7 linked regions of the Bombyx mori genome follow. The protein of the gene in region 7 purifies or fractionates together with the protein of the main gene of each other region. This does not show direct contact. Links are inferred from orthologs where the notes say so. Each region holds a gene or a part of one and is shown on either strand. Other genes may lie near its edges. The genes, in order: rptor, thioredoxin domain-containing protein 9, telomerase Cajal body protein 1 homolog, DDB1- and CUL4-associated factor 7, dynein axonemal assembly factor 10, viral IAP-associated factor homolog and chaperonin containing t-complex polypeptide 1 beta subunit.

What was found.
Region 1: the proteins of chaperonin containing t-complex polypeptide 1 beta subunit (region 7) and rptor purify together in Homo sapiens (affinity purification with mass spectrometry; 3 studies listed by BioGRID and IntAct, with this or other methods). This does not show direct contact. The link is inferred for Bombyx mori from reciprocal best matches to the Homo sapiens genes CCT2 and RPTOR.
Region 2: the proteins of chaperonin containing t-complex polypeptide 1 beta subunit (region 7) and thioredoxin domain-containing protein 9 purify together in Homo sapiens (co-immunoprecipitation; 3 studies listed by BioGRID and IntAct, counting the BioPlex papers as one, with this or other methods). This does not show direct contact. The link is inferred for Bombyx mori from reciprocal best matches to the Homo sapiens genes CCT2 and TXNDC9.
Region 3: the proteins of chaperonin containing t-complex polypeptide 1 beta subunit (region 7) and telomerase Cajal body protein 1 homolog purify together in Homo sapiens (co-immunoprecipitation; 3 studies listed by BioGRID and IntAct, with this or other methods). This does not show direct contact. The link is inferred for Bombyx mori from reciprocal best matches to the Homo sapiens genes CCT2 and WRAP53.
Region 4: the proteins of chaperonin containing t-complex polypeptide 1 beta subunit (region 7) and DDB1- and CUL4-associated factor 7 purify together in Homo sapiens (affinity purification with mass spectrometry; 4 studies listed by BioGRID and IntAct, counting the BioPlex papers as one, with this or other methods). This does not show direct contact. The link is inferred for Bombyx mori from reciprocal best matches to the Homo sapiens genes CCT2 and DCAF7.
Region 5: the proteins of chaperonin containing t-complex polypeptide 1 beta subunit (region 7) and dynein axonemal assembly factor 10 purify together in Homo sapiens (affinity purification with mass spectrometry; 3 studies listed by BioGRID and IntAct, with this or other methods). This does not show direct contact. The link is inferred for Bombyx mori from reciprocal best matches to the Homo sapiens genes CCT2 and DNAAF10.
Region 6: the proteins of chaperonin containing t-complex polypeptide 1 beta subunit (region 7) and viral IAP-associated factor homolog purify together in Homo sapiens (co-immunoprecipitation; 3 studies listed by BioGRID and IntAct, with this or other methods). This does not show direct contact. The link is inferred for Bombyx mori from reciprocal best matches to the Homo sapiens genes CCT2 and PDCL3.

The regions. Positions count from the first base shown.
Region 1 is NC_085123.1:798,403-801,902, reverse strand, and holds part of rptor (regulatory-associated protein of TOR), read right to left. Parts: intron 3,372-3,500; coding exon 3,130-3,371; intron 2,940-3,129; coding exon 2,865-2,939; intron 2,624-2,864; coding exon 2,543-2,623; intron 2,445-2,542; coding exon 2,268-2,444; intron 1,615-2,267; coding exon 1,452-1,614; intron 1,228-1,451; coding exon 1,149-1,227; intron 803-1,148; coding exon 580-802; intron 67-579; coding exon 1-66. UniProt on the Homo sapiens protein: Component of the mechanistic target of rapamycin complex 1 (mTORC1), an evolutionarily conserved central nutrient sensor that stimulates anabolic reactions and macromolecule biosynthesis to promote cellular biomass generation and growth.
Region 2 is NC_085117.1:95,771-99,966, reverse strand, and holds the start of thioredoxin domain-containing protein 9, read left to right. Parts: upstream 1-1,396; 5' UTR 1,397-1,587; intron 1,588-1,713; exon of another isoform or gene 1,714-2,041; intron 2,042-3,099; exon of another isoform or gene 3,100-3,110; 5' UTR 3,111-3,118; coding exon 3,119-3,192; intron 3,193-3,931; coding exon 3,932-4,031; intron 4,032-4,196. Other genes in the region: E3 ubiquitin-protein ligase RFWD3, read left to right, coding at 1-428. UniProt on the Homo sapiens protein: Significantly diminishes the chaperonin TCP1 complex ATPase activity, thus negatively impacts protein folding, including that of actin or tubulin.
Region 3 is NC_085124.1:10,450,348-10,454,376, reverse strand, and holds the start of telomerase Cajal body protein 1 homolog, read right to left. Parts: upstream 2,801-4,029; 5' UTR 2,664-2,800; coding exon 2,227-2,663; intron 1,610-2,226; coding exon 1,421-1,609; intron 1,073-1,420; coding exon 912-1,072; intron 1-911. UniProt on the Homo sapiens protein: RNA chaperone that plays a key role in telomere maintenance and RNA localization to Cajal bodies. Specifically recognizes and binds the Cajal body box (CAB box) present in both small Cajal body RNAs (scaRNAs) and telomerase RNA template component (TERC).
Region 4 is NC_085118.1:1,110,545-1,114,617, forward strand, and holds the start of DDB1- and CUL4-associated factor 7, read right to left. Parts: upstream 2,801-4,073; 5' UTR 2,570-2,800; intron 2,407-2,569; 5' UTR 2,386-2,406; coding exon 2,324-2,385; intron 1,909-2,323; coding exon 1,806-1,908; intron 1,007-1,805; coding exon 871-1,006; intron 353-870; coding exon 102-352; intron 1-101. UniProt on the Homo sapiens protein: Involved in craniofacial development. Acts upstream of the EDN1 pathway and is required for formation of the upper jaw equivalent, the palatoquadrate. The activity required for EDN1 pathway function differs between the first and second arches.
Region 5 is NC_085131.1:9,119,332-9,123,509, forward strand, and holds the start of dynein axonemal assembly factor 10, read right to left. Parts: upstream 2,801-4,178; 5' UTR 2,699-2,800; coding exon 2,415-2,698; intron 2,333-2,414; coding exon 2,205-2,332; intron 1,857-2,204; coding exon 1,639-1,856; intron 877-1,638; coding exon 754-876; intron 1-753. Other genes in the region: CXXC-type zinc finger protein 1, read left to right, coding at 4,108-4,134. UniProt on the Homo sapiens protein: Key assembly factor specifically required for the stability of axonemal dynein heavy chains in cytoplasm.
Region 6 is NC_085131.1:763,685-767,854, reverse strand, and holds the start of viral IAP-associated factor homolog, read right to left. Parts: upstream 2,801-4,170; 5' UTR 2,651-2,800; coding exon 2,645-2,650; intron 2,561-2,644; coding exon 2,428-2,560; intron 1,481-2,427; coding exon 1,252-1,480; intron 1,077-1,251; coding exon 868-1,076; intron 344-867; coding exon 231-343; 3' UTR 1-230. UniProt on the Homo sapiens protein: Acts as a chaperone for the angiogenic VEGF receptor KDR/VEGFR2, increasing its abundance by inhibiting its ubiquitination and degradation.
Region 7 is NC_085119.1:8,627,060-8,629,797, forward strand, and holds part of chaperonin containing t-complex polypeptide 1 beta subunit, read right to left. Parts: intron 2,279-2,738; coding exon 2,104-2,278; intron 1,651-2,103; coding exon 1,473-1,650; intron 804-1,472; coding exon 600-803; intron 1-599. UniProt on the Homo sapiens protein: Component of the chaperonin-containing T-complex (TRiC), a molecular chaperone complex that assists the folding of actin, tubulin and other proteins upon ATP hydrolysis.

The sequences.
Region 1 (3,500 bases), on a different chromosome or scaffold from region 7:
CCCGGGCGAGGGCGGCAGGCTGGCGGAGTTCCGCGCGGGTTCCGCCACGCTGTCCACTTGGGCGCTCTGTTGACAATTCTAATTTTATAAAACTCATTTATCATTATATTTGTCCGCAAAGAATTCCGAAAAAAAAAAAATTCGATTAAAACAAAAAAAAAATCAGATTCTTACTTTGTTCCACCTTAACAAATAGGTTAATTTTAATTTTAATTTATGATCACATAATAATAATTATTTTTTTATAGCCCTTGTAGTGTTGGCAGACGAGAGTACGGCTCACCTGATGGTGAATGGTTACCATCACCCGTAGACTTCAGCAATGCCAGGGGTAAAGCCATGCCGCTGCCTACTATTTCTTTGTTGCACAGTTATTATATGTAAGCTCTATGTAGGCGGTGTACGTTAGCTTATCGACTCTATACTTCAGTGTTTGGTTGTTTATGCTACAGTATGTAGATATATGTCATTAAGATCAGGGTCCGTCCCCCATGTGTTTTTTTGCCATTTGCTTCATTGCTACATTATAAGACTGCACCGTATTAATTTTATGGCAAACGTCTGGAGCGAGAGGCTGACCTGGTTCGAGATGTAATTGAGGATGTCAGTGGCCATCTGCGCGACCCTGGGGTGCGGCTCCCGGGCCATGGCGCACAGCGTGGAGAACAGCCGGACCGGCACGGAGCCGAACCCGATGGCCGGCAGCGAGTAGTGGGGGGGCCGGGACCGACCTCCCGCCGCGCCCCCGCCGCCCCCCGCCAGCGCCTCCTGCCCCGCCTCCACGCGCCCGGACGGGCCACCCCTGTGCATATTAGGTATTTAGGTGAATTGGGTTATTAAGTGGTACATTTTTGAAATAAGTTTTAATTTTACCTGGTGGTAGGCCTTCTTGTGAGTCCGCTCGGGTAGGTACCACCACCCTGCCTATTTCTGCCGTGAAGCAGTAATGCGTTTCAGTTTGAAGGGCGGGGCAGCCGTTGTTACTATACTGAGACCTTACTTATATCTCAAGGTGGGTGGCGCATTTACGTTGTTGATGTCTTTGGGCTCCAGTAACTATTTAACAACCAGCTGGGTTGTGAGTTCGTCCACCCAGATAAGCAATAAAAAAATATAAAAAATTGTGCAATCTTCATATTAATTCTTACCTATCATTTCTTCTGACCCGTTCTTGTATGTAAACAGCGATGAAGTGTTGTTCAAATATTAACACCAGCCACTGTAATGCTGTAAAAAATAATTATTATTATAAAACTGTAGACTCAAACCTCTTCAAATCAAATAGAGAAGTTCTATTTGATTTAGAAATCTATACTAATATTATAAAGAGGAAAGATTTGTTTGTTTGTATTGAATAAGCTCCGGAACTACTGAATCGATTTGGAAAATTCTTTCACTGTTTGTAAGTTATACTATTCCCGAGTGACATAGGCAGACACGCGGGTACGTACCGGCCAGTATCTCTGCGCGCACGAGCGGGCTGGCGTCGAGCGGCAGGCGCGCGGCCAGCTGCACGCCCACCTGCAGGTCCAGCGCGTTGGCCTGCTCGCAGCGCCCGGCGCCGCCGCACCACCACACGAACGAGCCCAGCGCGAAGGCGCACGCCGCGCGGACCTGCCGCCGCAACATCGTCACATCAACTATTCTTTTTTTTTATTGCTTAAATGGGTGGACGAACTCACAGCCCAGCTGGTTGTTAAGTGGTTACTGGAGCCTATAGACATCTACAACGTAAATGCGCCACCCACCTTGAGATATGAGTTCTAAGGTTTCAAGTATAGTTACAATGGCTGCTCCACCCTTCAAACCGAAACGCATTACTGCTTCACAACAGAAATAGGCAGGGCGGTGGTACTTACTACCACCAGTAAATAAAACCAGTAATTACCACCAATAAAGTTCTTTTAAAACTTAATAAAGCCCCTTAATAAAACTTAATAAAAAAATAAAAATAAACTAATAGAAGGTAAAGAGAAATCGCTTACAGAGTCGAAAATGTTGCTGACAAACGAGCACGACTTGTAAAGCGTACAAAAGCACGTCGCGAGTTAGTACGCTTTACATTACAGGCCGACGAATATGAATATAAGCAAGCAATACTAGGACCCCGTCACAGTAGCACTGAAACTATTCATGTGATGTTTATAAGCCTTGTCAACCTTGTTCGTCACGTGGGCCGTGGGCTCGTCTACCCGGGCACACAATAGTGTAGGAGCATGGACAGCTGCTCCGTGACGGCCCCCTCGAGGGGGGTAACGTATCAGTACCTCAGGCTCAGAATGCTCAAGGAGCGGGAACAGTTTCTCGTGCGCGAGATCTCTGACTCCCGTCCATCGCGCCGCCTCGAACCCGCGCCACAGCCGGCCCAGGCTGATGCAGATCCACTGGGCCAGTACCGGCTCCCTGTCGCCGAGCTGCTCGAGGCATATCGATATCATTGAGCCCTGCCAATCGAAATTTTCATTTAGTTTCATTTCTTACGTACGTCTTGCAGCAGCTGACCGTAGATACACAACACATGCGATGCGGTCCGAGGGCTCACCTGCAGCGCGGCCTCCTGCCCCGCCGGGTAGCCGTCCACGATGCCAGCCAGCACGTAGGCGGCCAGGGTGCGGTGCTCGCTCTGCAGAAACGGAACTATTTCAATGGAAGATGATCCTGATTGAATGCTACGTGCATGGCCCTAGTGTCGCAGGCTATAAGATTGAAACAATTGGAAAGTGTAGTCCACGGGCTCTGATAGACAATCAATCCCATATGAACTATAAGCTCGTCTATCAATTTAGTGTATAGTGTACTTTTCAATCCCATTGTCTTGCGTACCCTCCCCCCCGCGCGGCGTGCACCTTGCTGCGGGTACTTACGTCGACTGTAGGGTCTTGCAGTACGGACAGGAAGTACGTGTGCCCTTTAGCGTTGACTAGGTCCGCTTGACAGCTCTGAAACAATTAATGATTAATTAAGTACAATTAAGAAATACCATTTCGTTTCGTTCTGCACTCAAAATATGTGTAAAAGCATTAATACCGTTTAATTTGCATTTACACTATTTGATTCGCTGAAATTGCCAGCACTTGTTTTTTTGGCCGAGGGAATATAAAATGAACGAAATGTATAAGTAATACAAACCGGATCGACCGCGATGATCCTGGCCCAGATGTAGACCATGGAGGCGCGCAGCACCGGCGCGGAGGCCTGCAGCAGCTTGAGCATGTAGGGGAATATCCCGACGGCCAGCATGGCGCGCACCGCCCACGCGCCCAGCGCCAGGAACCGGCACAGCAGCTGCAGCGCGCGCACCCGGTGCAGCGTGCTCAGCAGCACCTGCAGCACCATCGGCAGCTGCTCCGGCACGCCGCGCCCGCCGCACCCTGCAGCGCACTCTCCCTCACTCTCTCTCTCGCTCCCTCTCCCTCCCTCCCCTAAACTACACTATACCAGTCATAGACAACGGCCTGGCTATTGCTGACCATGAGCACCGGTAACCACTCACCATCAAG
Region 2 (4,196 bases), on a different chromosome or scaffold from region 7:
TCTTGCCCGTGGAAGGATCGTTCATGTCTCTGGCCTATGATAACGCGTCCCAACGCGCCGTCATAGCGTCCAGACCGAGTTCGAATGGTCTAGAAAGATCTAAGTTGAGCGTCTGTAAATTGAAACCGAGCATACCGAACGGCGAAGTTATTTGTGACGTGGTAGAAACATTCTCGGGGTCGCTCAGGTCCTCGTTGATGTCCAAAGTGGCCTGGGTGAGGTTAGCGAGCTCTGCGTGGGTCGCCGCTCATTCTGAAAGCGATTCAGCGCTTTATTTGCACGGCGTCGACGGCACGCGGACCATGTCCCTGCCCGCGTCGGAGCCCGCGCTGGACGTGTGCTCGGTCGAGACGAACGGAAGCAATATACTGGCGGCTCTGTCAGAGTCCCGACTCAGGCTGTACAAGGCGGTCCCCACCAATACGTGACACGATTACACCATTCCATATTAATGTAACTTTTATATTGCTTGACGACGTTGTAGCGTTCAAATTGTCTTGACAGCTGTCATTTTTGACAAGAGTCATGAAAAATTAAATTGAGTGCTTGTTGTCTCTTTTGCTCCCGAAGCTGTGACTTCAGCATGCAGCGTCTATGGTCACTTGCTTATAACAACGCGCTAAGTACTTTGATTTGTATAAATATAATAATTCTTAAATGATATTTTAGACTTTGTAATATAATTTATATTTAAAATGTTTTGTAAATATTAATTGTGTTGAGAAAGTAAAATTTAAACCTTGATACTGTGTTATGTTTCTCTTTGTACACCCATATTATAGAGCTGAAGTTCTTACCCACAGAGCCTCAAGTTTGAACGTGGTGCATGGTGCATGAGGCAGGTGGTTTCAGAAAACTGAGTTATGGTATGTTTACCAAAATCAAAGACGCGATTGTTTAAAATGTCAAGAAAACTAATTAGATGAAAGAATTATATTAATATTAAGTGTATTAACCACGATATTAATTATAGAATTTTGCTATATTAATGGTATTCAATTTGAATACTCTTAACAAGGTAAATAGCTAGTTAATTTTTGTCTTTGACAATAAATAATGCTTTATATATTCAAATAGTAAATATGGAACATTCTTTCTTAAGATTAGGCTTTAAAAGAAAGGATCTTCGCACCAGGTCGATCGGCAGTTCATGTACTGGTATCCAGTAAAATAGATAGGCATTTTGTGAAAAATTCACCAGTCAATCTCCTTCGGATCCTTCCGACCTGCAGATCAGACCCGATACAGGCTTCGCCCAATTTAGATTTTTACTTAGGATAGCATACTGCATTAACTGTGGGAACCAGACTTTTTTTTGCTAAATATCTTCTTGGCTTGGCCTTTGTAGTCATAAGCCTTTTCTGGACTTTGATTTCACTGTCAAAATCAATATTGTCAACTGTCGATTGAAACTTGTCAAAACTCAAAACTGAAAATAAACAGTAGGTCCACTTTTGTTTCTAAGTTTCCAATACGAAAGTCTGTTTTTTTGAAAAGAAATTCTTAAATTTACCACATTAAAGACGTTAATTAAGTAACATTTTTATAAAACTCATTATTTGAACCAGTACAAATCATCGTAAAAACGTAAGTAACAGTATTATTTGTGAGAAATGTACCGTGTGCGCGAATGAGGTCACCACCATTGATTAGGTTTTAAAAAAAGTAAAATGATTTTTTTTATTTTCGGTTTTCATTCAAAAATTCCTTTCTTTTGCGTCATACCAGAGTTTCATTCTATATACCTTTTTTCTCAGCGGTTCTAAGCCCCTGATGCGGCCGGTCTACGTCCGTGCCGGGCCCACGGCCCACGCGTGGTCACGTCTCTTTTAGATAATTAAACCAGTTTGCTCACCATAGCAGCTTAATATTAAATTCTGTAGTGCGCATTTACTCTCGTATCTAAATTATAATTTCTAAAGATTAATAAGCAACGGTAACCGCTTACATCCCATCTCTCTGGTGCTAATTACTAAAACTATTGGTCTATATTTACTCCAACTGATTGTCTGAAGGGAAGCACCATCCACAATATGGTTAGGTAAGCAACTTGGCCATGTTAACTGCTTACTCTCTCTAGTAAGAGTGCTAGAAAATAATTGTAAAACAATCTCTACAATAATGTAGATACCTGACTGTAATTGTGTGGCACTTAAACATAAATTTGACAATATAAGAAGGTTTAGAGTTTATAATATTGAAATGTTTAAAATAACGTAAACAACGATATCCACATGGTCTTAAAATTAATTTTAATTTTATCAATACCTCGCTAAAACCTAACAAAATACAATGATTAGTTGTAAAACTGAGAGTAAAGGGAATGAGTGCTCATAAATAGCAGCACTACGCCAAAAAATTATTAAAATATCAATTCAAAATCGTTTTTTTTTTGGTAATGTTTTCTTTGCACACAACAAATGAAGAATGAAAGTATTTCAGATATGTTGTACGTTATTGTGGATGTTTGAAAAATTTTGGGGTAGTTTTTGCACTGGTAAAATTGACAGTGATTGTATTAATGTAGTTATTGAAAAATTAAGAAAATATTTAATAGGTCAGACTGTATATATTCTATAATAGTTTTATTACAAACTCTAAGTGACAGTCATTTATTTGTAGAAATAGAAACGCCATTTATGTTACGGAGCGTAACAAACAATTTTGGAATTGGGTGTAGTACACTTGGGTGTAGTAAGAGCAGACAAAAAATAAAACAATCAGTTCCTTTAAATTGAACACTCAGGAAAAATCATTCACGTCCTAGAGCCATAGGGTAGAGTGTGGCAACATTGAAGATGAAATTTAAAGAGCAAAGCGAAACAAAGTGTAACATTCTATGCCTTAAAGACTTTTTCACTACTACTAGGTATATAATTGATACTAGCGAGTACTGAATGATATTTTATGATATCGATTCTTAGAACTGTCAATACATGTGTCTTTGATTAAAACCGTTTCGTTATTATTGAACTTTAGCTCGTTTAAATATTTATCATTTTTGTTCTTTCACGGAATACTAAGTATAGGCAATGTGATTTTTTATCATAGTATATTAAATTGTGCCTACTAAATTTGTTTATATTTAAATGTTATAAGCTTTTTTTCAGTAATCACAATGGCGAACGTCGACCAGTTGCTGCAGCATGTTGCCCAGAATGTAGAGAGACAGATTGACAGTGAAATCGAAAGGTAAATAAAATGGTACTGTAAAAACTGAGATGTTAGAACATATAGCTCAAGGTAGGTGGCAGCATTTACGTTGTAGATGCCTATGGGCTTTGGTAACCATTTAAGATAAGATGGGCCGAGAACTCGTCCACTCATCTAAGTAATAAATAAGAACAGATTATTAGTATTATTAAGAAGCATATTAATAATATATTTTACAAATCTTATCGCTAACTATTGCACGTGTTAATGACAAATGACAATAAATTTAATTACCGACTAGAATATATCACTAACAAAAGCTAAATACGGGATTATTGAACAATTTAGACGAAAATAATGTTATTTAATTGAGTTGATAGTTGAGTGATGCGACCCCGTGATATCGCGGGAGCCCGGCCATACTACCTGGCCTACCTGGGAGGTACTCTGGGAGCGACAGCTGGTCCAGGATGTAGCAGGTCTCCAGAGGGCTTTTATTTTTATTTTTTATTGTTTTGATGGGTGGACGAGCTCACAGCCCACCTGGTGTTTAGTGGTTACTGGAGCCCATGGACATCTACAACGTAAATGCCGCCACCCACCTTGATATATAAGTTCTAAGGTCTCAGTATAGTTACAACGGCTGCCCCACCCTTCAAACCGAAACGCATTACTGCTTCACGGCAGAAATAGGCGGGGTGGTGGTAACTACCCGTGCGGACTCACAAGAGGTTCTACCACCAGTAAATTCTTTTCTAAGTATCTCTACATATTACAGATTAGACGCTCTGGAAAGTGGGGATCTAGAGGCGATCAGACAACAACGCATAGCTGAAATGAAATTAAGAGCAAAGCAGAAACAAGAGTGGTTGGCCATTGTGAGTGTTGCCAGCACAAAACTATTTTGTATTTATTCGTGTTTTCTACAGAGTGTGTCCATTTCCGTGAGAGTATTGTTTTAAATTGACGTTTCTGGTAAAATAAGAGGCAACCGTTCTCGAAATTAAAATCTATCACAAAATATCGTTTCGTATTAAATAGTA
Region 3 (4,029 bases), on a different chromosome or scaffold from region 7:
ATTCCCGATAGGACTCTGTCGCGTATTATAAAACAAGACCTGAAGCTCGCAGGATATACCCTAAATCAATCTTTATAATTAAAGTGATTGGATAAATGAAAATGCCTTTTGATGCGATATGCAGGTGAAAGGCACAGAAATATTCTCTTTACTGATGAAAAAAATTTCACTATTGAAGAACACTGCAATAAACAAAATGATAAAGTGTACACTCACAGTTCTAAAGAAGCTGCTGAAATGGTAGGAAAGGTACAAAGTGGTCATCATCCTGCATCAGTGATGGTTTGGTGGGGCGTGTCTTATCAAGGAATCACAAGCTATATTTTTGTGAAAAAGAAAGTGAAAACTTCAGTCAATGTGTATCATTGTCCATGTATCCATGTCTTGGATTATGCTGTAAAACCTCTCAGCAATACACTTTTTAAAAATATACTGTGGACTGGCCCGCATGTCTCTGCACCTGGTCACAAGGCAGGAACTACCCAAGCCTGGCTTGAAACCAATGTTCCAGACTTTGTAAGAGCTGAAGTCCAGCCTCACCGAGCCCAGACCTCAACCATTAGACTTGAAATTATGGTCAGTTTTAGAGAACATGGCCTGCTCTAAGCGATACAGCGACATTGAGTCTTAAAAAACCTTTGGAGCAAGCAGTGAAATTTCCCTTGGAAACAGTGCGCAAATTCATAGTTTCATGGCCAAACAGATTAAAGGCCTGTATAAAAGCCAAAGGTGGCCATTTCAAGTAGAATATTTTTCTTTATTTTTTGCTGACTTCATTTCTTTTTACTTCATTAAAAAAAAAACATTTTCATTTGAAACAGAACTTATGGCTGGATTAGGTATATATAGGTATTGGGTATATATATAACAATATGTAACAAACGTTACACCAATTATTCAGTGCTATTTACCTCCATGTCCATACATGTCCCCAATTTTCTTAGTACCAATTTCTGATTCATTATACAAAGTTATTGTTGTATTCCAAGAACCAACAGCAACTAAGTTATTTTGTGTTGAAATGCTAGATGCTGAACTAGAAATCTTTTGCTCAGTAAATTCTCTGCCAGGCCTAAAAAATTTACTGATTAATATACAAGCAAATAAAATAGACCTAGAACTCAGGCAGGATTGCAACAATTATGTTGTTGAAGTCTATGAGCTCTAGTAATCACTTAAAACCTAGTTGTATACCAATCAAAGAAATAAAAAAATTGTCTATCTTGAGCACATTACTAACTTAATGAGTATATTAAAAGATTTTACTTCCATACAACAAATTCTCTTTATATTAGTATAGATACGATAAAAGCTTCCTGCCTTGATATAAAGTAGTTATTAGCAAGTCTAAGCTTTGCTTAAATACCCACACTGAGCATGAAATTAAAGTTTTAAGATAAATTTGATAATGAAGAATTACCGCTCAACATCAAAAATTCTTAAATGCTTCTTATAGCCAGCAATGATTTTTCTACCATCTGAGGTAAAGCTAACTGATAAAGCTGGTTCCATTTCATCTACTGCATTGAATCCTCTGTATGAACATCTGAGTGATCCATCAAATGCATCCCACATTTGTATGGGAGAATTTTGTTTTGTTGTTAACCAGCTGTCAATAAAATTATTGAGTTACATGAAAGTTAGGCATTTCTTAAGAAATCTATTTCAGCTCCTTATTTTAAAGGAAGAGAAATTATGTTTACTGACAAACTAAAATTGATATTTTATCATAATCTCAGCCTGTCCACTGCTGAACATAGGCCTCTCCTACTGATGTCCACTATGTCATCAGCCCATCTGGTACACGGCACACTGCACTTGACAGTACGTGGTCTCCATTTAAGGATTTTTCTGCCCCATCGGCTGTCAATCTTCGTACTATATGGCATTCCCACTGCCGCTTCAGCTTGCTAATCCTAGGGCTATGTAACAAGTTTGGCTCTTCTATGGATCTCCTCATTTCTGATTCGATCTCATAAAGAAATACCAAACATAGCCCTCTCTATAGGTTGCTGTGTGACACTAAGCTTCTTAAAAAGTTCCCTTGTGAAACACCATATCTCAGAACCGTACGTCATCACTGGTAAAACACATTGGTTGTACACCTTTGTCATAAGGCACTGAGCATTTTTTTAATTTTTAGATTGGTTGATATTTAAGTAACGATATTTTATATTTACATCAATTCCATTGTAGACCAAATATTGAGTTTTAAATCTCACTCACCAACAGGAAGGGGGATTTGTGCTGTTCATGAATGGGTACCAACAGAAGTCGTAAACTGAACCTGTTTCTTTTAAATGTATCACTGATTCTAAGACATCGATTATACGATCGCCACAAACAACGCCCTGGTACAATTCACTAGGAAGCTCGGTAACATGAACACCATCGTTATTGACAACACTTAAGCAACAGGTTCCATCTGGGGACCACTTACATCCACGTAAATAAGGCTGTATATTCTCATTAGCATTACGACCCCTTGACCACGAGCAAGTGGACAATTCAAGAAAGCTTTTGCTTGTAAATAATGCTGGATATTGAAAAGCGTTTTCTGTACACGCCGAACCCAATGTAAGTTCACTCGGATTTTGAGTTATGGTTTGAGGTATATTTTCAGCGTTTATTCTTGATGGTGTCTCCATTGACCAATTTTCCATAATAAAGGTAGATCACAACACAATTTGTGATTATGTATAACAAATTGACAATTATTCCGCTCACGGTTTCAAAATAAAAACAAAATCGTCGTTCGTCAATCGACCTTACCGCCTTACTTTTTTTTAAGGGATTTTATGACCTGGTAACTAAGATCTTTAGGTCATGTCTTATATTAATTTATAATATTCTTATTTTTATGAAAAATGATAATTATATGGAGTGAAATGAAATGAAATGAGATGATATGGGATGAAATATAATCTCGAGATCGGGAATGATCAATCACAAGAACGGTCGTACATACATAACAACATAATTTTTTTTTGGGGCCGGGGGCTGAACCTCCCATGAGGTTCCCCCGCCTAGGGGGCACGCAGGGTATATGAGACTTGACGATCTGCAGATGTTGGAAGCAGACCGTAGGTCCAAAATTATTTAAGGACCCTACCGCACTAAACGACTCCCCTGCCCCTTATACGGTTGCTCTTCCACAGTATGTTCGACGACGACAGCGACGACGGCAATGCGGACCGCATCGCGGACCGCTTCCGAAGATGCGTCGTCACATGCCAGCACGCTACAGTGACAATAGCGTGTGGCGCAACCTCGACTACCTCAGGTCGCCCCGTGAACATCACCGGGAGGAGACTGCTTCTTCACAGGGGTTGGAGCTGGACGAACACCCTCCTCCAATTCCCGGCTCGGTGGCGGTGGCCCGGCGCCGAGAGGAAAGAAGAGCTCTCTCTCCCCGTTCCGCCGCCTCCTTCTGCATGATGGTGGACTCACAGAAGTCGAGCATCGCCTGCCAGGGCTCGTCGCTGCCGCACATAGTCCGGACCTATTTTTGCAACGAGGGTGCGGCGCTGCTTCGCGAAAGCGGGGCAGTATGCGAACGTGTGCTCCGCCGTGACACCACAACTATACATTAACCCACAGACACAACCCTTGAGTTTCTCACCGGATCTTATCAGTAGGTCGCGATTCTGATCCGGCAATAAATTCAATAAAGCACTACTCTTGCTACAGTAGATGTTAGCAAAGTCTCTCAGGCAGGTTAGCACGGAGATTTTATTATATGTTTTATGTATTTAAATTCAGATCTCACACAACTAAAGGCGCTGTGGCGTGGCTTGTTTTATTTTAAAATATCATCAAAATTCACTCAATGGTTGTACACGTCACGCTTCAATTAATTCAAAATAAATTAACTGAAATGCAGTCAAAAAAGTTACTTTGGAAAGTATATTATCTCGCAATTTTTATTATCTTCGTTCAAGGACGGTAGGTATAACCTTTATTCATTATTGATCAAATTAGTACATTGATGAAAGTGAAATATATTTTTATAAAGTATTTTCAGTGATT
Region 4 (4,073 bases), on a different chromosome or scaffold from region 7:
GAAAATTTTTTGAAGACACCAATAATCTTCAGATAATCATTAACATAAATTTTGGACACAAATGAATTAACAAGATCTTCTATTAAATAAAAATCACAAACCTTATCATGAGCGATCAACTGAGTCTTCACGTGCCCAGACACTTCATTGACCCTGCCCAAGACCTGTCCAGTCTCCAAGCCCCAGATGGTGCAGGTCGTGTCAATACTACTGGTGCCAATGAGGTTAGGATCCACTTCGTTCCAATCAAAGGATGTAAGAGGAGCACAGAAGTCAGAATTCTTATTATTATTTAGGACACATTCGAATAATGTGTACGGCTCTCCGGCACGCCATATGCGTAGATAATCACCTGCAACATAAGGCACCATTGTGAAATTTTATTGAATAGTTTTACTTGAATTTGATTATTTATCAAAACTGTTTATGTCAACGAAAGTTGCCTCTATTAACATCACAATCATTCATATTGTACTCATAGGGTATCACTTATTTTTATTTATGTAGATTGATTATTATTGTTTGCATGAGTGTACCAGGCTCACCACAAACCGGGAGGAGTAGCGATTGCTTGTGAGGCGCATAACATCTGCCCTCAGCAATGATGCTGAATGACGACCACAACCGCTCTGACAAGAGTGATATGACGACAAAGGAGATAGACAGGCTCAGTTAAGTACAATTCAGTGGTTTATGGAGCTCAAAGACTATCATGAATACTGTTTCTCTAGAGAGAGATGATATTGTAAGCATTATTTTTGGGAGTATATGTTTTTGTCTATGTAGCAGTGTAAAAGTAAATTCAAGCCTCATTATCTCCATATTAAATATGGTAATCTTAGTGCTAACAAACTGCTACCGAAGTCTTACCGCTAGTTGCCAACAAGTCTGGATACACCCCCTTGCTATCAGGTATCCACATAATCTTGGTGGTCGGGTACGGGTGATCAAAGGTACTTTTTGCAGTGAACTCACTTGTGTCTTCATCAAGGGAAATTATTTGTACCTAGGATTTAAGAGTTTTATTAAGCTTATGTCATGCACAAGGAATGCTACAATACAGTATGTGTGTTAAATGAAACCATTAATATATTAGTTTTCACTAAAAATCCTTCAATGTAGTGAAAACTAATAAATTCATTTATATTAGGTAATATAAAACAATTTTTGGCAGACCCCTTTTTAAAATGAACTGATACCTCAAAACCCCATACCCAAATTATTTAAAAAACCCTATCCCTAGTTCTTTTCCTATTCATACAACATACTCACCAATTAAAACCTTTGCGGTCAAGTTATTGTGTGTCTAAGTGGGTTATATATCTTGGGAACTCCTGGTTTACTTACTATATGTTTGTATATTATGCTAAACAATTAACTAATTAGTAGTATGTAGTTGAGTTTTTACTAATTTAATGGTGGAATTAAGTAAGTAATATTATGCACCAATAATTACTTAGAATTTTTTTTTTCTTGCTGTATTTGTCTACTTGGTCTATAAGAACAGCCTCCACAAACTAAGTGCTCCTACCAATTCTGTCAACTACTGAAAAATGAACAACAACAAAAATATGTAATTTATTGTGTATTTTCTTTGGTAATATTATGCATTTATAGATTATAAGGCACACACCTCTATCTTTTATAATTCAATGAGTGGGAAATTTTTGACAAATTGACTTCCCTAAAATTGCATTAGCTTTGCATGATTCATTATCTGGGCCTTTATACTGTATTTACTTAATCCTGTTGGTATGTTTTGTAAATTACTAAATTAATATAATAACTGCTCTGTAAAAGCTTACTTTATTGTTGTATTCCTCAACAAAACTGCCCAGGGCTAACCTGAATCTCTTGTCAGGTCTGACAGACCAATTCATTGAGTATAATGGCCATGGCGCTTGGTATCTGTAAAAGATGTGTGACATAGAAATGCAGCTGTCTAGCTTATAGTGTTTTTTTTTTATCACAACTTCGTTTATGAGAATTTAACCTAACTGTATGAACAACTCAAATTTCGTACGTAATTATCAAGATAAGGCTGTTTTTGCAATTTGTTAACATCACTTTAGTTCTTTTCGGGAATTGTGAAAGGATTATCTGTATATTTCAAAACATCTAAAGCATTAAATTAGTAAGTCCCATAATGCCTGCTTGATTGTATTACAAATGTTTCGAAACATAGGAATGGGTACAGAAATAAATAACACGCTATACCTAATTATAATTAGCAATCTCAAAATTGGGTCAACTCTGTATTTTATACTGTCAATTATTTCCAATCTGTTATTTATAGTTCATATTGTGTTGTAACGTTACTTACTTGTATATTTCTTTACGTTTCGTGCCTGAACTGGTACTCGAACTGCTGTGTGGCATCGACATCACTGATAATGTTTAATGTTTCTGAAAACACAAATCAAAATGATATTTATATGAAATTTTAATGAATAGTGACTTTTTTATTTTTTTTGTCTTTCAAGTACGTAAGTTTTCATACCTTTCAAGTTATATTTTTTAGATTTTTACATATGGTTTTAAATTTACAAAAAATATATATTTTATGTACCTTTGCCGTAATATCACAGAATGGCCACCAAGCGGCTTTGTTATGTTTGATTTAAATATACCTATTTAAATATTGAACTGTCCATGAGCTTCTGTACCTTCAATTAATGTATTTTATAATTGGAAATTAACTAAAAACTTAGTTTTGTGTGGAGAAAACAAGCATGAAGCATTATTTTTACAAAATTTGACAACTGGCAAGTAGGACAATCTGACATTTTAATTTTTTTTCGTTTCGTTTTTTGACTAGGCAACGGGAATTTAGCATCTGCGAGTAAACCTCATCACTACATAGTATAAAACAAAGTCGCTTTCTCTGTCCCTATATCCCTATGTATACTTAAATCTTTAAAACTACGCAACGGATTTTGATGCGCTTTTTTTAATAGATAGAGATTGAAGAGGAAGGTTTATATGTATAATAACATCCATTAAATAGTGGAGAAATCAATAATCAATTACAGTTTCTGAAGCAAGGGCGGGTCCCTACTTTAGTATATGTCGAATCTCTGTTAGTTGTTAAAAAAGTGTAATGAAAATTATTTTATGAATGAAAATGAAATAATTTAAAAATAAATTAAATTGGCTGCAATAAGACGAAATTGGATTTGAAGACATATGCCTGGTAAAAATTCAATAATGAGTAAGCTACCTATTCGAAACTGAATGAGTAGTAAAACCAGGCTATGTATAGAAAGTTAAATAAACGACAATATCCACAGATGTCCACTGTTGAACAAAGGCCCCCCCAAAGCCTCGACACAACGACCGGTCCTACACTGTCTGCATTCGGCGGATTCCCGCTATATTTAACAGGTAGCTGGTCTGCCTTGTGGGAGCTCCACCCAAGCTACATCTTTACACAGTCGCCACTCGAAAGCGTTTCAGCCATAGTGGCCATCTGTTCTACGAGCAATGCTCTGCCCACTTCAATCTCACAATTCCTTCGGCTATGTCAGTTATTACGGTTTTCCTGCGAATTTCCATATTCCTGATCTGATATCGTAGGTAAAAAGGTTCTAAATTTCTTACGTTTTCTATTATTGTGTATAATATTTTTTTATTGCCTAGATACCTGGGCAGTCTCAGTTTCTTAATTAAAAATTAAGGACAGACTTATTAGTTTGTATAACTTTTTAACTCATAACTATGTTAAAGATTATTATAGATACTTAAAGTGCCCGAATTTAATTAATAGCAATAAAGTACACTGGCAATGTAAAACTTTTTATTAGGCGCTTTGTTCGAATGCCATGACGTTTCGAAGAGCGTCTGTCTGCTCGCCTGAGTTGTGTGTTCCCCATTTCGTGGTAACTAGAAACCAGATGCAATAGAAAACGGAACGTGATTACATGATAACAATCTTCAAAAATGAAAACGAAGGCCCCAATTAATTTTTTATAGCCTAAATCTGTAATAAACTAAAACTAAATTTTAAAATAAAGAAACAAAACAGTTAAAATATAACATATTATGACTGCTTTGTCCCATAATGATCCACGTGA
Region 5 (4,178 bases), on a different chromosome or scaffold from region 7:
CTTAGATGTGTGGACGAGCTCACAGCCCACCTGGTGTTAAGTGGTTACTGGAGCCCATAGACATCTACAACGTAAATGCGCCACACACCTTGAGATATAGTTCTAAGGTCTCAGTATTAGTCACAACGGCTGCCCCACCCTTCAAACCGAAACGCATTACTGCTTCACGGCAGAAATAGGCGGGGCGGTGGTACCTACCCGTGCGGACTCACAAGAGGTCCTACCACCAGTAATTACGCAAATTATAATTTTGCGGGTTTGATTTTTATAGCACGATGTTATTCCTTCACCGTGGAAGTCAATCGTGAACATTTGTTGAGTACGTATTTCATTAGAAAAATTGGTACCCGCCTGCGAGATTCGAACACCGGTGCATCGCTCGATACGAATGCACCGGACGTCTTATCCTTTAGGCCACGACGACTTTTAAATTAACTGATGTAACTATAGATTGTGCTTTTAATATATTAAGGTCCATGGATTCTGATGAATAGAGATACAGCCCATCTATTGCTGAGATAACAGACACTGCAATGTGAAGAATTCTGCCAAATACATAGAGTAGATAAACTTTCAAAGAAATTGGAACAACAGCTGTACTATAGTATACACCAGAACATGTGATTTAATGGTGGTAAAAATAGATAAGGCAGGGGTAGGAAAATTCAAATTTAACAATGCTCTGCATTGCATGCAATCTTCATATTTATTTCTCAAAGACATTCCTTGCTGGTCAGTAAAACATTAGGTTACCTGAGCAAATCCTTTAGTTGGATTTTGAGTCCTCACATCAAAAACATGAAACTTCCCTTCAAGTGTGGTTGCCACTAATTTATTCATTGGAATATCTTTACGATCGAATTCTAAGGAACATACCTAAACAAACAAAAATTCTTCAATATTTATCTATTAATTTTGACTTAGATATAATTTAATATATATATATATATATATTTTTTTTTTTATTGCTTACGTGGGTGGATGAGCTCACAGGCCACCTGGTGTTAAGTGGTTACTGGAGCCCATAGACATTTATAATGCAAATGCGCCACCCACCTTGAGATATAAGTTCTAAGGTCTCTGTATAGTTACAACGGCTGCCCCACCCTTCAAGCCGAAACGCATTACTGCTTCACGTCAGAAATAGGCGGGGTAGTGGTACCTACCTGTGCGGACTCACATGAGGTCCTACCACCAGTTATATAAATATATATCTCTATTGCAAAACAACCTATCAAGCTAATTTAGGATATATCATAAACTACAAAGAATTAAAACACACACAGATAATAACAAGTCATTGTTCATCAGAGTACCAGTTGAGATAATGATAAAAATTTCGAGATTAACTGAATTTATTTACTTCAATTGTGTTGATGTTTTCTTAAATAATTACTCACATTAAAATTAAAATGAACTCCCTCCCCCACTACTGTGACTTTTTGAAAAATATAACACATCTTTCTTAGGACAAGATTAAAGTGAATAACTACTGCTACTATACAACTAGTAATGACCCTGTATTTACTGATGTTAACAGGTTTCAGTAACAACTTTTTATCATGCATGTTGTATAATATGCCTATTGCGAGTTGTGACATAAAAATCTTAAATTTAGTCTTGAAATTACATACTTACTCCATTCTTCAAATTACATTCCCACCTAAGTGACATTGTTCTCAAATCAAACATTTTAAGATCTCCATTGTCATAACCAGCAACTACAATCCTTTCAGAATCATTAAATGAGTTTCCGAAGCCAACAGCCCAGCAATCCCTTCTAGTCTCACCTTGCATTGGTTGCATGTTTGCAACAGGTTTACCTCTTTGCCTTGGATCCCAAACCTTTACTGTTCCTATAATTTCAGTAATTATTATGTTATCACTACCATTTTTATTTTTCCTAAAGAGTTTTAAACCCAATGTCTGTTTCTCTGATTACTTATTCTAAATGACTTAACAAATTTTGATACTATTTTCAAAGATATAAATAGAAGTGTGAGAAAGGTTTGTGTATAAAATTTGTAAATATTTTGGACAAAATCAAAATCTGATGAGGATAAAAAAAAAACTATCCCAGTATGTCAACATGGCTAATGGTAGTCAAATCTTAGAAGGTATTGTAATATTGATTTAGAAAATCTACTCATCACCACACGAGTACCCTTTAATGTAACAGGATAATCCTTGGCATGAAACCTTACCATCTCTACTGCCAGTTACAATTTCAGGAGCTCCACAGTTGGTTGTGTTACCTCCCATCCCATCTATTGAGTTAATTATATCTGAATGTTCTTTTGTTATGTACACTTGGGAACCTTTTTCTAAGTCCCTATAGAAAATAAATTATTTATTAACATTCGATTTTTATGATTATCCGGAAAAAGTATGGATTTTATGATTTTGTTACAAACCATACTTCCAAAGTGCCTCTAAAGTCTCCAGTAGCAAATCGTCTCTCAATGTCGCTACTTGCTCCAAACGTTCCACATTTAAACGAGTTAGACCTCTCAATTTCTTTTATTTTCTTAATTTCTCCGGCGTTTATTTCAAATATTTCAATGGTACCCGAGCCTTTCGGTAAAGAACCAAGTACTATAAATTTAGCCGAACATGGTATCCACTTGCAATCAAATAGTGAATGGTTTAAGTTATTTTCAATATGGGTAATTATTTGGGGGGTATTCAATTCTTCCATGACTTAAAAATAGATATAAAAGAAATATTCAAAGGTTTATGCGAATCTTTAGCGAAAACAAACGTGACAGACAGCATTGGTTTTTGGTTGCTAGGCAACAGCATCATAGGCCACATAATATTGCTTTTTTTAAAAGATTTTATGACTTGGTAACTAAGACTTTTAGGTCATGTCTTATTTTAATTAGTATTCTTATTTTTATGAAAAATTATAAATATTATGGAGTGAATGAAGATGATTAGGTAATTTGAGACATTAATCAACTGGGATGAAATTAAATGAATTGAAATGAGATGATGTGGGATGAAATATCAGTAAAATGGTGGTGGTCATTCATTTACTGAGATTTTTTCAGCGGACTTGTTGGAGGATCCCGAGAAGTTACGTCCAGCGGCTTTGTTTCATTTTCCCAGATTTGTCCACTTTCACATATATTAAACTGTTAATAAACCACCGTTATTACACATTTAAACCTGAAGAAACACTAAATAGACAAAATAAAACAAATCACACAATTTCACTTCTTGCGTTCCCGCCAAAAAGTCCATATAATATTTTACGCAAGTCTCAAAAAATATTAAATTTTCAACCCAGCACACTTCACTCTGCTTAAGCCTCCCATGTTCCTATCATTTCCATTTCCTAGACTAGCGCTAATTTAGTTATTCTTTTTTATAAAGCCTTGATGGGGGACTAACTCACAGTCCACTTGGCGTTAAGTGGTAACGGCAGCCCGTAGATCTACAACGTAAATGCCGCCACCCACCTCGAGACATGAGTTGTAAGGAACAATACAGCAGCTGCCCCACCCTTCAAACCGAAACGCATTACTATTTCACGGCAAAAATAGGCAGGATGGTGGTACCTACCCGTTCGGACTCATAAGACGTACTACCACCAGTAATCTTCTAACATTTTTCAGCTTCTCCCCTACTCAAGATGGTGCTCCTTACTTCTTTCTACCCTTCATAAGTTTTAGAGACACTAAAAGGTTAATACTTGAATTATCATTTCAAATTTTAACCTGATTAAAACCTCTGAAAAATCTTTCTTCTTTTTTAAATCACTTTCCGTCCTTCAGTTCGATTTTTTGTTACAATAGACTTGGCATTATGGGCCCTTTTTGTCTTTGGAACAGACCATTCAATCAAATTCTCAACTTTGATTATCCCATGTGTCAAACGACAATTTTATAGCTTGGAAAATTGTGGCCAAACTTTATATTTCAATAACTTTCTAAAAATATGAGGAAATGAAAAGAAAATTGAAAAAAAAATTACGAGTCTAAAGAATGAATGAAGTTATTTATTTGAAAAAAGAATAAAATTTGTTAAATAAAAAATAAAAACTTCCTTGGGTGCTAGCAGTTGTTAGTGTCATTGAATCGGTTTTGAAATAAAGGGAATACAATGGGTGATAAAAAGTCGAGACAATCTGTAAGTGTTAGTGAAATGTAAATCCTATAGAAATCAAATGTATC
Region 6 (4,170 bases), on a different chromosome or scaffold from region 7:
GTATATACGCCATTACTATAGATTTTTTTTTACAACGGGGTCCTATATAACAACACAAGTTCACTTGATAATGATGCTCATTTAGCACAAACCTTAATATATTAATTTAATACAGTTCACATAAGAAGCTTTTGATAAGTAAAGCGACAGAATACAGTTTAAAAAAAAAACATACTGTTAGATGTAACATAAAATATAAATTAACTTTAACATAAATTAATATTCTAAAATCACCAGTCATTACTTCCAAGGTCAGTAAACAACTTGTCTTTGATCTTTGGTCGGGGATCTTCTGTTATGCTCGTTTCGACAGCTCCAACCTTACCGAGTATGTATTCGAGTTCTGGAAATTCAAATACATTTATTTTATTACTTTCCACTAGCTCATCTCAATTTGACTATAATCACTAATATCTCACGGTTCAGACTCATTTTATTCATTATATTTTCATTTTTGTCTATTTTTCAATGTCAATATAATTTAATTCATACATAACTCTATAACAACCACTACAAAAGTGAATTGATTCACAAAGTTCACATAGAACTATTGGCCATGCTATATAAGGTATCAAGCTATCAATTACCATCATTTAAAAATTGATTTATTCACAGCTACTTCAACTACAATACACTGTATTGAAGTTCACTCTTGGTGGCAAAACGGATGCTTCTCAATGGAGACTCACATGTTATACTGCTACTGACTAAATTACTACTACTGTATTAAATTTGCTATTGGTGAGAAGCAAGCCTTGTGGTGCTATTGTTATATGATAACAATCACTAATAGTAATCCTTACTAAAAATGTAACCAATTATAATTAAATTAAAAAAAAACTATAAAAATCAATTCTCATAGCTTACCATCACAAGTCAAACTGGTGCCCCTTAGTTCGTGGGACCCCACAAACTGCTGCTTCATTTCGCCCTCAAAGTAAACAAATAAACTAGGCAGATTCCTCTCTGGGAAGTTTGGGATGCAAGTCTGAGCAATGGCTTTCAAGAATTTTGTGTAGGGAAACTTGACTGCTAATTCTCGTAGATGTTGATTTATTAGTGCACATTGTTGTATTCTGAAATTTTTTGATTTATATGATTGATAATAATCATTGGAGCAGTCTGCAGATAAAGGGTCATAATGGCCCAATGACATAAAAAGTCAGTGCTAGGTTATCTAGAGGAAAAAAACTACATACATTGATATTGGTTTATCTAATGTCTTTATATCTTATTCATCGTTCCACTCACCCCTGTTTGTACAAATGAATGACCACCCAAATGTCTTGACCAGCCTTGTTAACCTCCTGCACATAATCTTGACCAGAGACTTCTCGCACTTCTCCGAATCTAGGCTTCTCAGACAGCTTCTTAATTTCTGCTAATCGTTTCCTGCGGTACTCTTCTATAACAGCCTCATCTTCTGAATCTTCAAGTTCGTCCAATCCATCAAGGTCTAACTCAGATAATTGTTTTTGTTCTGTGAATAAGTAAAAATTGTTATTATTGGAGACCATCACAGTCAGTCCAGTTAATTATGTAGTTTATAGTGTTCAAAACACTTGCCAAGGGTGGCTTGAACTCTCGTCCTCAGCATACAACTATCTACGATGGTGTTTTGGCTGATGTTAAAAAAAGTGTCCCTATCAACTGAACTGGCGTTCTACCAATGAAATGAACTCATTAACTATCCTATCAATTCTCTGCACCCAATAGGTGATGATTACTACATTTTTGAGGGAGTCACTTCTTAAATTCGTAGGGTTAATTGTTCAGTATGTCAGAATGGAAAACAAAACACAAAGTTAATTGTAAATTCATAGCTGAACATTTATAATTATAATAATACAGAGTGTGACTAACATTTTGTCAGATCTTTAAGAAAAATATTTCTTTAAACATTAGTAGTGTCTTAACATGTCTTGTTATTCCTGAATATTTTCAATTTAGTTTATATATAAATTCAAGCAAATGTATTTTGATGTAACAAATAATCACCAAAAAATTCATAATTGGTGAATATTCATTATCTATGCCAGTACAAAAATGAATGCGTCCCACTTAACTGTACTTACTAGAGCTAATTTAGGTGATGAGTCTCGCTTGGCTGAACATTTCATAAGGTGTTGGATGCAAAGAATTTTTTTAACAAAATGATTGAATTGCAGAAAGAAAACTATTAATTTGGTGACTGTTTAATTCCAGGATTCATTTAGTGTACTGGTGATGCATATCAATTATAAACTAGACTAGTCTAAAGGAATGTATAATGAATAATGAAATTATAGGTACTTAAACCAAAAAGTTTCGAAGTTCATTACGTTCAGTGTTTCCGGGTAATGATTCACTGTTGATTACTGATGAGCCAATACATATTGCATTTACATCGTAGAGCTTAACCTCAAAAATTCGTATTTGTTGACCTACTTTCAGCTTCCTTTTGCTGTATTGTGTCCTCTATCATGTTCACAATATCGGCCTCCGAAAACTCCGCTTCTTTCTGCGGTATAATACCCATCTTTCGAAGGGTATCGTTCCATTCTGTATCTTCATTGGGGTTCTAAAAATAAACAACAAAATAAAATTAAACTTTTCACTTTAATGTACTGCACATCATTTTACTGATAAGTTCCATTTATTATACCTGCATTTTATTAAATTAACAATTAAAATTCTAATAGTTGAAATACATAAACTTGCTCCAGCTTTTCAGGAAATTTGACACCAGATATTTTTTCCATAGACTTAACATTGAGACAGGCAAAGGAAACTTTGTCATGAAATATGTAGAACAATAGGTACCATGACATGGGGTAAATTGGGATCCTGGGGTAAATTGGGACAAACCTGCGGAAGATTCTCAAAGTACCTGTAGCACGGAATTTACCTAATTTTGTTTAAGTTAATATTTATCAATGTATAGAAGAAAAACCAAGTTAACTATGGAAGTACTAAATATGAGTTAAGTTGGTCCCAAAAATTCGTCAAATTAAATTGAAAATAGTGGTTGAAAAGTGAGTTTTAAAACAGCTTAAAGAACTTTTAAAAAAAGTAATATTATCGTTGTTTTTTCAATAAGATCACAGTTTATATAAGTTTTTAATACACCTGGAAATACCACAACAAACGGTAAGTTGCAATATTCTTATTTTAAATACAATATTTCGACAAAATAAAAAATGTATATTTTTTCCTTTCTTTTTGGGGAAAATTGGGACGTATGTAGGGTAATTGGGAACGAGACTGGAAAAATTAGGGACGAGAAAACACAAAATTGGAACGCCAAAAGACAAAATAGGGATGGCTTGTTAGGGTTGTCACTGATATCTTATAATAGATTTTTTAGCCTATACTATCACTTAATTGCGTGATGTAAAGAAGGTTAATGTGTTTATCAGTTAGTTTATGTAAGTATTATAGGTAAAAGAAAAGTATATATATAATTACTTTTTTTCGCGACATTTACCTTGTAATATCTGCCCGGTCGTATGTTCTTTATAGCAATAAAAAAAATTAAAAGTTAAAAGAACTCAAACGAATCAAAACTTTTGTTATTTCAGAATCTATTCACGCATCGAATCATGATTTTGTTAACATTCAAAACGCACACACAAATAAAAACAGGCCTCAGATTTTAAATGTAACATTAATTAAAAATCCGATATATCCAATTATGAGTGAGTGAATTAATTGAGTTTAGTTATTTAGCTTAGAAAGAATTTCTTTTATTTTTGTTATTATTGGCAGTAATCAGATAAAGCTGTTTTTTTATCTTATTCACCTGATATCTTACTCTTGCTCAAAGATTATTTTGAAAATGTTGATTAAATAAAATTGTATTATTGCATTTCCAGTCCTTTTGTTTTCTATTTTTTATTCTATTTTATCAATTTGTTTCAGAGTTGTGATTTTTAAGGAAATTAAATAATAATTTTCTAAAATATAACATGCACATACTTTTTTTGATCATTGTATTGTTGATTATCATTCACGTCACATCGCTTCGGAATAGAAACCAGCTTAATTTACACTATGTTGTGTATTGTGCTTAAATTATGGATTGTATTCATCATTTCGGTCCATATAAATAATTATATGGCACCTACCTATATATCGCAGTACTGCGAGTTGACAACCCTTACAAATATCCCAATTTAACCCTTAACCGTG
Region 7 (2,738 bases):
GGGGCGTTAATGATGAGAATCTTTGTGGGGGTGAGAAATAATACTGTTAATTTTAAATGGTATTTCTATATAAAATTAGAATACGTGACAATTCGTTGTGTGAATGTGGTTTGGACGACAGCAGTATAGATCACATTTTCCTCAATTGTCGCTTGAACAACTCATTCATATGAGACCAAGTTATTAGCGAACTGAAAATTCAACGGCCGGTAAATGTCCGCCACAACCTCTCACTGTTCCCAGATCCCCGTATTATAAGTGCTTTTATTAAGTTTTTAACTACTAACTCTATAAAATTATAATGATATGTAGTGCATTACTCTCTGTACATAATCTTTATTATAATATGTAAGTTTATAGTAACATTAATTTTGTGTTAGTCCCAGGCACCATTATTATTGCCAAAATTGGATACTTTTCATAATAAAAAGTGTGTTTAAATAGCTCGACAATGTTCCATGTGTAGCCATAACACGACACTGGCAGAAATTGCTGAAAGTATCGGCAGATTGCCATTAAAAAATATATAATAATAATAATAATTTTAAGTGCTCAGTGAAGCGGACGGGTACAGCTAGTACAATATGAAATTAGAGTACCTAATCCCATAGTGTTTTCTCCTCGAGAATGATGAGCTCTGAGTCGAGCAATGAGATCAGCACTGTCGTAGCCAGCATTGTCGGCGACAGCGGACGGCAGTCTCCGGAGCGCGACTGCAAAGGCTTCGGCTGCTGCGGCTTCCTTCCCGGCTGTGCGAGCGCCGGCGCGGGAAGCTGCTTCTGCCATTAGCATTTCACCAGCCCCTACATGCAAAAAATGCTTTGACATATGGATTTTATTTCCAGTATAGATAATAGGGTGTTCAGTCCAGACAGTCGAAGTTGATCAGTGACTGCGACAGTCCATCTGCGAGTCTTTGTAAAAAAATATATTTGTAAATTTATGACACCCTTTATCCCAACTAAAAGAGATTAACGCATCATTTTGCTATAACAAATATTACAGTTATATACTGTCTTCTTAGTCGTTACACTCTTGACATATAGCAATGGAGGATGCAAATTTGATGCGCCTCACCATATCCCACCATCACACTAGGTACACATTATTGTGTTTTAATTAATCACACATCGCACCTTTAGAATTATAGAGACCTAACCCAAAAAATGTGTTTTTTGTAAAACGTTGAATAAAGTTTTCAAACGGAATAGACATAAGAGGAGGATGATGTGAAAGAGACCTATGGATAAGTTTGTCCCTTTATAAGCTACTTTCGGTCATTTGATTAAAAAGAGCAGCTGATGATGGGTCGTTCTAGGTCAATTTTTTAATTAAAGTCGAAATAAAAAATTTCAAAATGGGTCTGTATAATTCTAAAAGTGCGATATATTTTGTGTAAATGTCATGTAAAATGCAAAAGTAAAATATATTAAACATAGTTTTATTTTAGTCTTTTATTAAGTAATTCATACCTCCTCCACATATGACCTTCGGTTCTTTTACAGTAGCAGCAAGCACGCAAAGCGCATCATGGAGTGAACGCTCAGCTTCGTCGATAACTTGTTGCGTGGCACCACGGATTACGATCGTGCAAGCCGAGCCCAACGCTACACCAGAGAAGCGGATCAAGCTCTCATCACCAATCAGAACCTGTGAGTGGTCACCGATTATAAATATGTTACTTTATAAATAGCTACCTAATATTATGATTTATTTTTGATATATTTGGGTGACAGAAAACAACATCACACCACAAACATTGCCAATTAAGTAGTTACTACAGCAAAAACTCAATTGAACCAAACAAAAAAACTTTATCCTTAAAAGATTGGGATATGTACTTGAATAGGTTGTAAAAAAACTCAAACAGAACAGTGAAACCACAAATGCACTTTTTAGTAGATATTTAAAATGTCTACTTTGAGTATGTGCTTCAATTGATATTGATAAGCAAGTTATGCACCAGAAGATTGATAAAAAAGTTAAAAAACCATGCTTGAGGAACATCGGTATAGCAACAGATCAAAAGACAAATTTTCTGCATTGACAGCAAATCTCTTATTGAGAAGAGGTTTTCTTATGATTTAAAATATGTCATTTTACCTCTTCGATCAATTTGCAGTGACCAAGTTTCACTTTGTCTGGTGAGTCAAATGTTGACACAATTTCCCCTCCAGTGACCAAGCCAAGCCTTTCGATACCTTCGAAATCAGCATGCTCAATTGCCATTACTCCAGCATCAGCAAACAACTGCTCTGGGTAGTTGTATATAAGTTGTCTGAAAATTAAAATTACCATAATAAGATACCCTCTTAGGCTTCCAAACACAAAAATTTCAAGAGATTAATTTAATATAAGCATATTTATGCTTATTTCAGATGCTATGCAGTTAATTTGTTTTATTTTACTTAAATATTGTTTTAATCATATCTGCATTAACATTATGTATCAACGAAGCGCTGGGGTCGTTAGTTTGACTTCACCTATTGAAGAAACAAGCAAAGTCATGTTATAGTTTAGTCAATAAACATTTAAATACGTTGGAATATATACTCTGGGTCACGAGATCTTTTTTGAAAGAAATAAATTATTATGATTTGTTATTTAATAATGAATTAGCACATGTGTTGGGTAACAAATCAATTCATTGTGTGTCTTTATGTAACCCCCACTTAGCAATTACTTTATTAAAAGGAGAACAATTACCCTCACTAATACACTACATAAATAGAAAGATA